Notamacropus eugenii: one gene and its partner. The protein of the gene in region 2 purifies or fractionates together with the protein of the main gene of each other region. This does not show direct contact. Links are inferred from orthologs where the notes say so. Each region holds a gene or a part of one and is shown on either strand. Other genes may lie near its edges.

Evidence for each region. Proteins that work in one complex are often made in the same cells at the same time.
Region 1: the proteins of PINK1 (region 2) and HSP90AB1 purify together in Homo sapiens (affinity purification with mass spectrometry; 4 studies listed by BioGRID and IntAct, with this or other methods). This does not show direct contact. The link is inferred for Notamacropus eugenii from reciprocal best matches to the Homo sapiens genes PINK1 and HSP90AB1.

Annotation. Positions count from the first base shown.
Region 1 is NC_092873.1:107,736,632-107,740,374, reverse strand, and holds the start of HSP90AB1 (heat shock protein HSP 90-beta), read right to left. Parts: upstream 2,704-3,743; 5' UTR 2,003-2,703; intron 451-2,002; coding exon 304-450; intron 1-303. UniProt on the Homo sapiens protein: Molecular chaperone that promotes the maturation, structural maintenance and proper regulation of specific target proteins involved for instance in cell cycle control and signal transduction. Undergoes a functional cycle linked to its ATPase activity.
Region 2 is NC_092876.1:60,646,566-60,650,308, reverse strand, and holds the start of PINK1 (serine/threonine-protein kinase PINK1, mitochondrial), read right to left. Parts: upstream 2,794-3,743; 5' UTR 2,704-2,793; coding exon 2,329-2,703; intron 1,449-2,328; exon of another isoform or gene 1,216-1,448; intron 1-1,215. UniProt on the Homo sapiens protein: Serine/threonine-protein kinase which acts as a sensor of mitochondrial damage and protects against mitochondrial dysfunction during cellular stress.

The sequences.
Region 1 (3,743 bases), on a different chromosome or scaffold from region 2:
AGGAGAAAGAATACAACTCTATTAGCTATCCCTTTATCTTCTCTATAATTCAGAGTTTTCTAGCTTTCCACCTCTTTCTAAACACCATGAGTGTCGACTACTTGTACTACTTGTACTGTGCTCTTCAATTAGAATGATATTCACAGACTTGCTTAACCAAGACAGCTTTCTTTCAACCTATGATGCAAAAATCTCATAACCCCCTCTGTGGGGAGGAGTGACAACAGAAAACCTGATTAAGACCACCACCCTCCTCCTATTCCCTCCCCAGGTTACCATATTATCATCAATAGTAACACTTACATCAGAGGCATTGGAAATAATCTCTCGAAGAAAGATTTCCTTATTAGAATAAAAGGTGTTGATAATCAAGGACATAAGCTGGGCAATCTCTGCCTGGAAGGCAAAGGTCTCCACCTCCTCCTCTCCATGCTGTACTTCCTCAGGCATCTTTAAACATAAAAGGGTACAGTTAATCTAGAGTCTAATATCTGACCTCCCCCACAAGAATTATCTGAGAAAAACCAGTGACTCCTACCCAGATGCCAGGTTCAGTTAACTCAACAATTAAGCAGTCAAAAAACAACCCAAACACCAGACTTGGTTGTTTTGAGTCAGTTCAAGGACCCAGAGATGAAAAGCAAATGCCCTGTAGACTTTGAAATATTGGAGAAACGCTTCTATACTCTCCAGAAATCACTGAAGTCCAGTAACTTTTGACATCTGGGGGTAGAAACGACCTTTAAAGATTTCATTATTGCTTTTTAACAGCCTAGAATGTCTACTGCTGATGTTTTGGGGAAAAAAGCCCCCAGCTGAGATTCCCCAGAAAGAGAAATCCAATGGAAGTCTCTCCAACTCGGTTTAAAAAGGCACGCTAATTAATTAATAGGCTTCCCCGCCATTAAACATCCTCAATTCACACTACAATGGAAGCCCTTCAGCACCACTCCACCAGAGGCACCCGCCAAGCAGTGAAGCCCGCATCAGCATCCCCGGAGCCTAGCGCAGCGCTCGGGGCGGGGCCTGCCTGCCTCGTGCCGAGTAACACTAGGTAACAAATGGACGGGCAGCGGCCCCCGCATGGGGGAGGGGGAGGCCCACCAGGATAACGGCCAGGTCTAGCGCAAGGGATGACAAAGGATGCGGACAAAGAGCCAGTGTCCGCGCCTGCAACCCCGCTGAGTGAAACACGGCACCGCGGGGAGGGAGGAGTTCCCGCCTGGGGCCGATCCTCTAGGTCGGGAGGAGGAGACACCCCACCGCCTAAGGGGCACGATGTCCCCGCCATCCCCGCTTGGGGGCTCCGGCGCCATCCCAGCATCCGGGCACCTGGGCGGGGCGCGCGGCTCCAGAAGCTTCCAGAAGAATCTGGGCCCCAACGCGAAGGGAGGGGGGAGGGAGTCCCGGGAATGTTCCAGAACCTGCTCCTCCCTTCTCGAACCACCTCCCCCGCGGCCCCGCGGGCCCCCCCCCCAACGCGCTACTGAAAAATGCGGCCATGATGGCCAGGGAAAGTGGAGCACGGAAAGATACCTAGAGGACCGAGACAGTGATGCAACCGAAAAGCAAAGATGAAACCTGGCGAAGGACTCGCCCCCCCACCCCGGTGCTGAGTCACCCCAGCCTGCTCCCCCACACGCGCGCCGAATGCCCCTCTCGCTCCCCGTAGCCGCCGGAAGTGGAGGTGCGAGCCCAACATGGCAGCGTCCCGTGGGGACCGGCGCGGCCACCACGTGCTAACCCTAACCCCCCGGGAACGCTGCTGCCGACCAACCGGCCCCCGCGCGGCTGTCACTCCCTGCCCGAACCCTCCCTGAGGCTAGGAAGAAGAAAAGAGGCTGGGGGAGGGGAATAGCCTTACTCAGAAAAACCGAAGTCTGAACGGTCGGCGGGGATGGGGGGGGGGCATTAAAACCTTTGTGGGTAATAATATGAGAAAAAAGGCAGAGTAGAAAAGGAAGATAAGAGGTATTAGACGGGAATGTAGCGAATACGTCACCTTGAGCGATGGCAGACAAGCAGGCCGGGTCAGAGAAGGGCTGAGTCCAGCGGCTACGCACACCTCGCACCGTGAGGAGCTTGGCACAAGAGAAGCTGCCGGCCGCCCCCACCCGCCCTATATATTGGCAGCGCACCGATAGCGTCGGAGCTTCCCAGGCGAATCCCTCCGCCTTAAAGGGGCCGCCTCACAGACCGCGCACCTGCAGCCTCCGAGGGCGCCGCCGGCCTTCTCCTGCAGCTTCTCCCGGCCCCCCCTCCTTCTTTCCACATTGTACGCACATACAGATTATAGAAACGAAACTACTGGAATAGGCAGGAACCTTCTTTAGGGATCACGTTTATTTTACACATGAGGTCACTGAGGCCCAAGGTCACCCCGTTCGTACGAGTTTTGTCTGGCGGTTCGTGGTTTCCCACCCGTGAACCTGCCAGCTCCCAGAAAGCTCCCCGAGCCGTCGGCCCTGACCCTCAGCCGAGGCTTAACAAAGGTTCACCGATGGACTCACTGACGTAACCGGTGAACGGTCAGGACGGGGGCAGGGGCGGGGGCAGCCTCTCCAGCCGCACGGGGACGGAGCCAGGGGCTGGGGCGGGGCTGGGGGTCGCGAGACCCTCGCCGCGATCTGCCTTGGGGAGAGATGCTGGGACCTTGCCTGCGACAAGCGGCCACCCTCCAAGCTAGTGTCACCCTCCCCCCCACCTCGAGGAGGAGGGCTAAGCCACGAGGTAGCCTCGCTCTCCTGCCCTCGGGACCTACGTGGGGGAGAGGACAAACCGGGGTCGCGCAGAACAGCCCGGGGGCTTTTTCTGAACCGGTTTTGAGCGGCTGGGAGGGGTACACGTGGAGTGGCAGGGAGGTCAGGGCAGAGCTATGTCTCTGAAGGGTGGGGGGGCTCCCCGCAAAAGAGGTGGCCCCCACAAGGTAGGAGGGCAGTAAAGCCCAAGCTGGTTCCCCATCCCCACCCCCCCGCTCCAGCCCACGGGCAGAATGGGCTGGGGGAAGGGCGAGCTCTCCGGGACTCTTTGCCAAGGAGCTCGGCGGCGGAAGCCGAGCCTTTCTGCAGTGCGGCGGCATTTCCAGCAGTTTCCACGCCTGTCTAGTCGCATTCCCCGCCCCCTCTCCTTCCCCCCCCACTCCCGCACGCCGCCCCCCCACCTCCTCCCCTCCCTCCTCCTCCTCCCTCCCCCCCCACTGGGCCTGAGCTCTTCGTGCAGCGAGCCAAGGCGCCAATGCGGGCCTGGACCGGCCGCGGACTCATCCCCCGCATCCCCCGCATCCCCCGCATCCCCCGCATCCCTCCTGCGGCGTCCCCACTGCGCTCCATTTTCTATACCCCAGCCCCGGTCAAGTGCTTTGCCCGGCGCTCGGTCACACAGTAGGCGCATAATACATGCTTGTACCTCCCCTCCCCCTCTTCTCCCATTCCCTTTCCTGTAACCTCAATATCCAGAGTCCCATCCAGTGCCCCTCCCACGACTGGCCATCCCCACTGGAGGAACATTAGAGCAAGCCCCTCCCCGCGCCCCCCACCCCGACCCAACAACCCCCTTCTCCTCCACTACCCCTGAGGCTCCCACAGAGGGAGGGGGCCGGGGGCAGCGGGCTGAGCCGGGAGGGCTAATGGAGGGGAAGCTGCCAAGGTCCTGGGCGCCCCAGGGGCCCGGGGAAGCAGGGCGCACGTTGGGCCCAGCCCGTGTGCGGTGAGGTGCGCGGTATCTGCAGAGTCACCGCACACACG
Region 2 (3,743 bases):
ATACATACTCTTGGATCCAGTGACACTGGTGTCCAGGCTCTTCCACTTTGGAGACCCTCCATCTCTCAGCTCTGGCTGTCCCCCTTGCCTGGATTGTTCTTCCTCCTCATCTCTGTCCATTGGCTTCCCTAGCTGCCTTTAAGTCCCAGCTAAAATCCCACCACCTGTAGGAAGACTTTCCAACCCCTCTTAATTTTGGTACCTTCCCTTTCATCCTATATATATCTTGCTTGAGGGCAGGGACTGTCTTTTGCCTCTTTTTTTGTATTCTGAGAGCTTAGCAGTCAGCAGGACCTTAATAAATACTGATTGATTGTCTGATCTTGGGCAAAACCATTCCCTTTCTTGGGTCCCAGTTTTCCTTTCTGTAAAATAATCAGAGGCACTGTGCAATAGTGGAAAGAATTTTGGAACTAGCAGTCAGGAGATCTGTGTTCCAAGTCTGGGGCTGCTGAAATAACCTGTTGGGCTTCAGTCTGCTCCTCTGCAAAACAAGGATGCTGGGCCAGATCAGGGGAGGGGAAGGGCCACGAGGTTGTAGGTTCCTATGTGTGAGTGTACTACATGAGTTTAATTATAGGTCTAATTACATTTGGTATCAATTACCATTTCCTTTTAAGCTCACTAGTACAGCAGGCAGCATTCCAGTAGGGAAAGTTAGACTCTACTGAGATCATGTGTGCTAGCTAAGTGGCTAAAACATAGTTTTTGCTTAAAATCTTAAGCTGGCTGTACCCAGAACAATAAGGGGCTATAGAGCCTCCAAGACCTTTCCTATCTCTGATGTTCATGAGTTAAAGATTGGGATAGAGACTCCCTCAAAAAAGTCTCAGTACTCAAGGAACATATTGGGAGCCAATGCCCCTGGGTGCCAATGCTTCCCCCGTCCCCTGCCCCAAGCCCTAACCCAACAGGCTTGGAATCAGGGGGCCTGCTTCAAATCTAGGCTCTGCCACTTACTTGCTTACATTGTACAGCTGGGCAAGTCATTCATTTAACTTGGCCCTAGCTTCCCCATCTTTTAAAAAACAAAAGGGTTGTGCTAGATGACCTATAAGGTCCTTTCTGCCTCTAGAGATGGAATCTATATCCCTTATGACTGTCAAGTCATAAACTGAGGTAACAAGGTTTGACCAAGGATCCAGGTCACCTGAATTCAAATCTAGAACTCTTTGTGCCACATTGCATTGCTTTAAAGGGTTTGAAAATGGAAGACCCTCTCATACAAACCTCTCCTTTCACAGATTAGATTGAGGGGGACCAGCATTTATGCCAGGCACTTTGGTAAGCATGTTGTTTGTTCAGCCATTTCAGTCCTGTCTTCTTTGTGACCTCATGTGGGGTTTTCTTGGTAGAGATACTGGACTGATTTGCCATTTCCTTCTCCAGCTCCAGATGAGGAAACTGAAGCAAAGAGGGTTAGATGATTCCCCCAGGGTCACAAGCTAGTAAGTATCTGAGGCTAGAGTTGAACTCTGGAAGATGCGTCTTCCTGACTCCAGGCTTGAGCTCTATCTCCTGCACCACCTGGCACTCCTAGGTGCTAAGTGCGATTATCATCTTCATTTTACATTGGAGGAAACTTAGGATGACAAATTAAGTGACTTGACTGGGGTCATACAGTTCCTAAGTGTCTGAGGTTGGATTTGAACTCAGGTCTTCCTGATTCAAGTCCCAGTGCTCTATCCATTGTATTATTTGCTCAAGGTCAGATAGGTAATAAATGGCATAATGAAATTCAAAGGAAGTTCAAAGACTCCAAATTCAGTACTCTTTCCACTGTAACACATAATCTCTCAGCTATGATGTTCTCTGTTCTAAGACCTCTTCTAGTTCTAACACTCTATGTTCTAAGGTTCCTTCTAGTCCTGACTTTCTGTCCAAGGACTGCCCAGCACTGACACTTCTATATCCTAAGGTCCTTTCCAATTGTGACTATGTTCTAGGTTCGAAGGTCCCTTTAAGCAGTAACATTCTATGTTCTAAGATCCCTCCCGGCTCTGGCACCCTGGGTTCTAAGGGCCCTCCCGGCTCTGCCAGCCTGGGTTCTAACCCTCCCAGCTCGGACCTTTATGCTTCAAGGTGATTTTAGGCGTGACATTCCGTGTCCCCAGGTTCCTTACAACTGTGACACTGCACGTGCCAGGATTCTAAGGTTCTTGGCTCCGAGGCGGACCCAGCTCCACTCAGAGCCCGCACCTCGGACAGCGGGGGCTCCTCCCCTCCCCCCTCCCCCCTCCCGCCCGAGGCTCGGCTTTGACCTTGGCCGCCTCCGGCCGCTCGGTGTCCGCGGGGCCGGTCCTGCCCGGGCCGGTCCGCGGCCCTCACCTGGATGTCCCGGCAGGCCGAGGCCGCCCGCCGCCCCTCCGCCTGCTTCTCCTCCACGAGCCCCAGCCCCAGGCCGAAGGCCAAGAAGACCGCGCGGCCGCAGGGGGGCCCGGCTCCCCGGGCCCGCAGCACCAGCTGACGCTGCAGGCGGGCGGCCAGCCCGGCCACCGACTCCCGGAAGAAGCGGTAGCGGCTGGGGAGGCCCAGGCCGGGCCCCGGAGCCGGAGCCGCCGCCTCTCGGGCCCCGAGGCCCCAGCCCAGCCCCGGCCGCTCCGCCCGCCCTAAGCCTCCCGGCGGGCCCGGCTTGGCCGAGAAGCGCAGCAGCAGCGCCCGGCCCAGCTGCAGGCCCCGGCCCAGCGCCTGCCGCAGAGCCATGGCCCCGGCCTTGACTCAGGCCCAAACGACACCGAACAGCACCGAGCCCACCGGCCGCTGGCAGGCGCACGCGTCAGTTACTGCGCAGGCGCAAAGACCGGAGGCGGGGAGAGTTCTGCCCACGAGGTGATTGTTTACAGACTCCGCGGGGCGAGGGGGTGGGGCGCAGTGCGGCGTTAGTGCGCAGGCGCGGCGCCTGGCCCGTCTGCATCCGGGGCTCTTTGGGCTGCGCGGTCCCCACGCCTTGACCACATCTGGGGCTGGCGAGCTCGTGACTTTATGCGGCCAGCCCAGACCGCTCAGGGCATAGCGCTAAGTCAGAAAGCTTTTCTGCCTTGCTCCGTCGTTTCAGCCCTTTCCGACTGTTCCTGATTTCTTCTTAAAACTCATTTTACAGATGAGGAAACTGAGGCAAACCAGGTGAAGTGACTCGCCCAGGGTCCCACAGCTGGTCAGGGTCTGAGGCGGGATTTGAACCCGGGGAGATGAGTCTAGCTGACTCCAGGCCCGGCGCTGTCCCACCTAGCAGGGTTCTAAGGGCCCTCCCAGCTCTGACACCCGGGGTTCTAGTCCTCCCAGCGCCGACACCCAGGGTTCTAAGGGCCCTCCCAGCTCTGACACCCGGGGTTCTAGTCCTCCCAGCGCCGACACCCAGGGTTCTAAGGGCCCTCCCAGCTCTGACACCCGGGGTTCTAGTCCTCCCAGCGCCGACACCCCTGGGTTCTAAGGGCCCTCCCAGCTCTGACACCCGGGGTTCTAGTCCTCCCAGCACCGACACCCCTGGGTTCTAAGGGCCCTCCCAGCTCTGACACCCGGGGTTCTAGGTCCTCCCAGCGCCGACACTCGGGGTTCTAGTCCTCCCAGCTCTGACACCCCTGGGTTCTAAGGGTCCTCCCAGCTCTGATACCCTGGGTTCTAAGGGCCCTCCCAGCTCTGACACCTGGGTTCTAAGGGCCTCCCAGCGCCGACACCCCTGGGTTCTAAGGGCCCTCCCAGCTCTGACACCCAAGGTTCTAAGGGCCCTCCCAGCTCTGGCACCT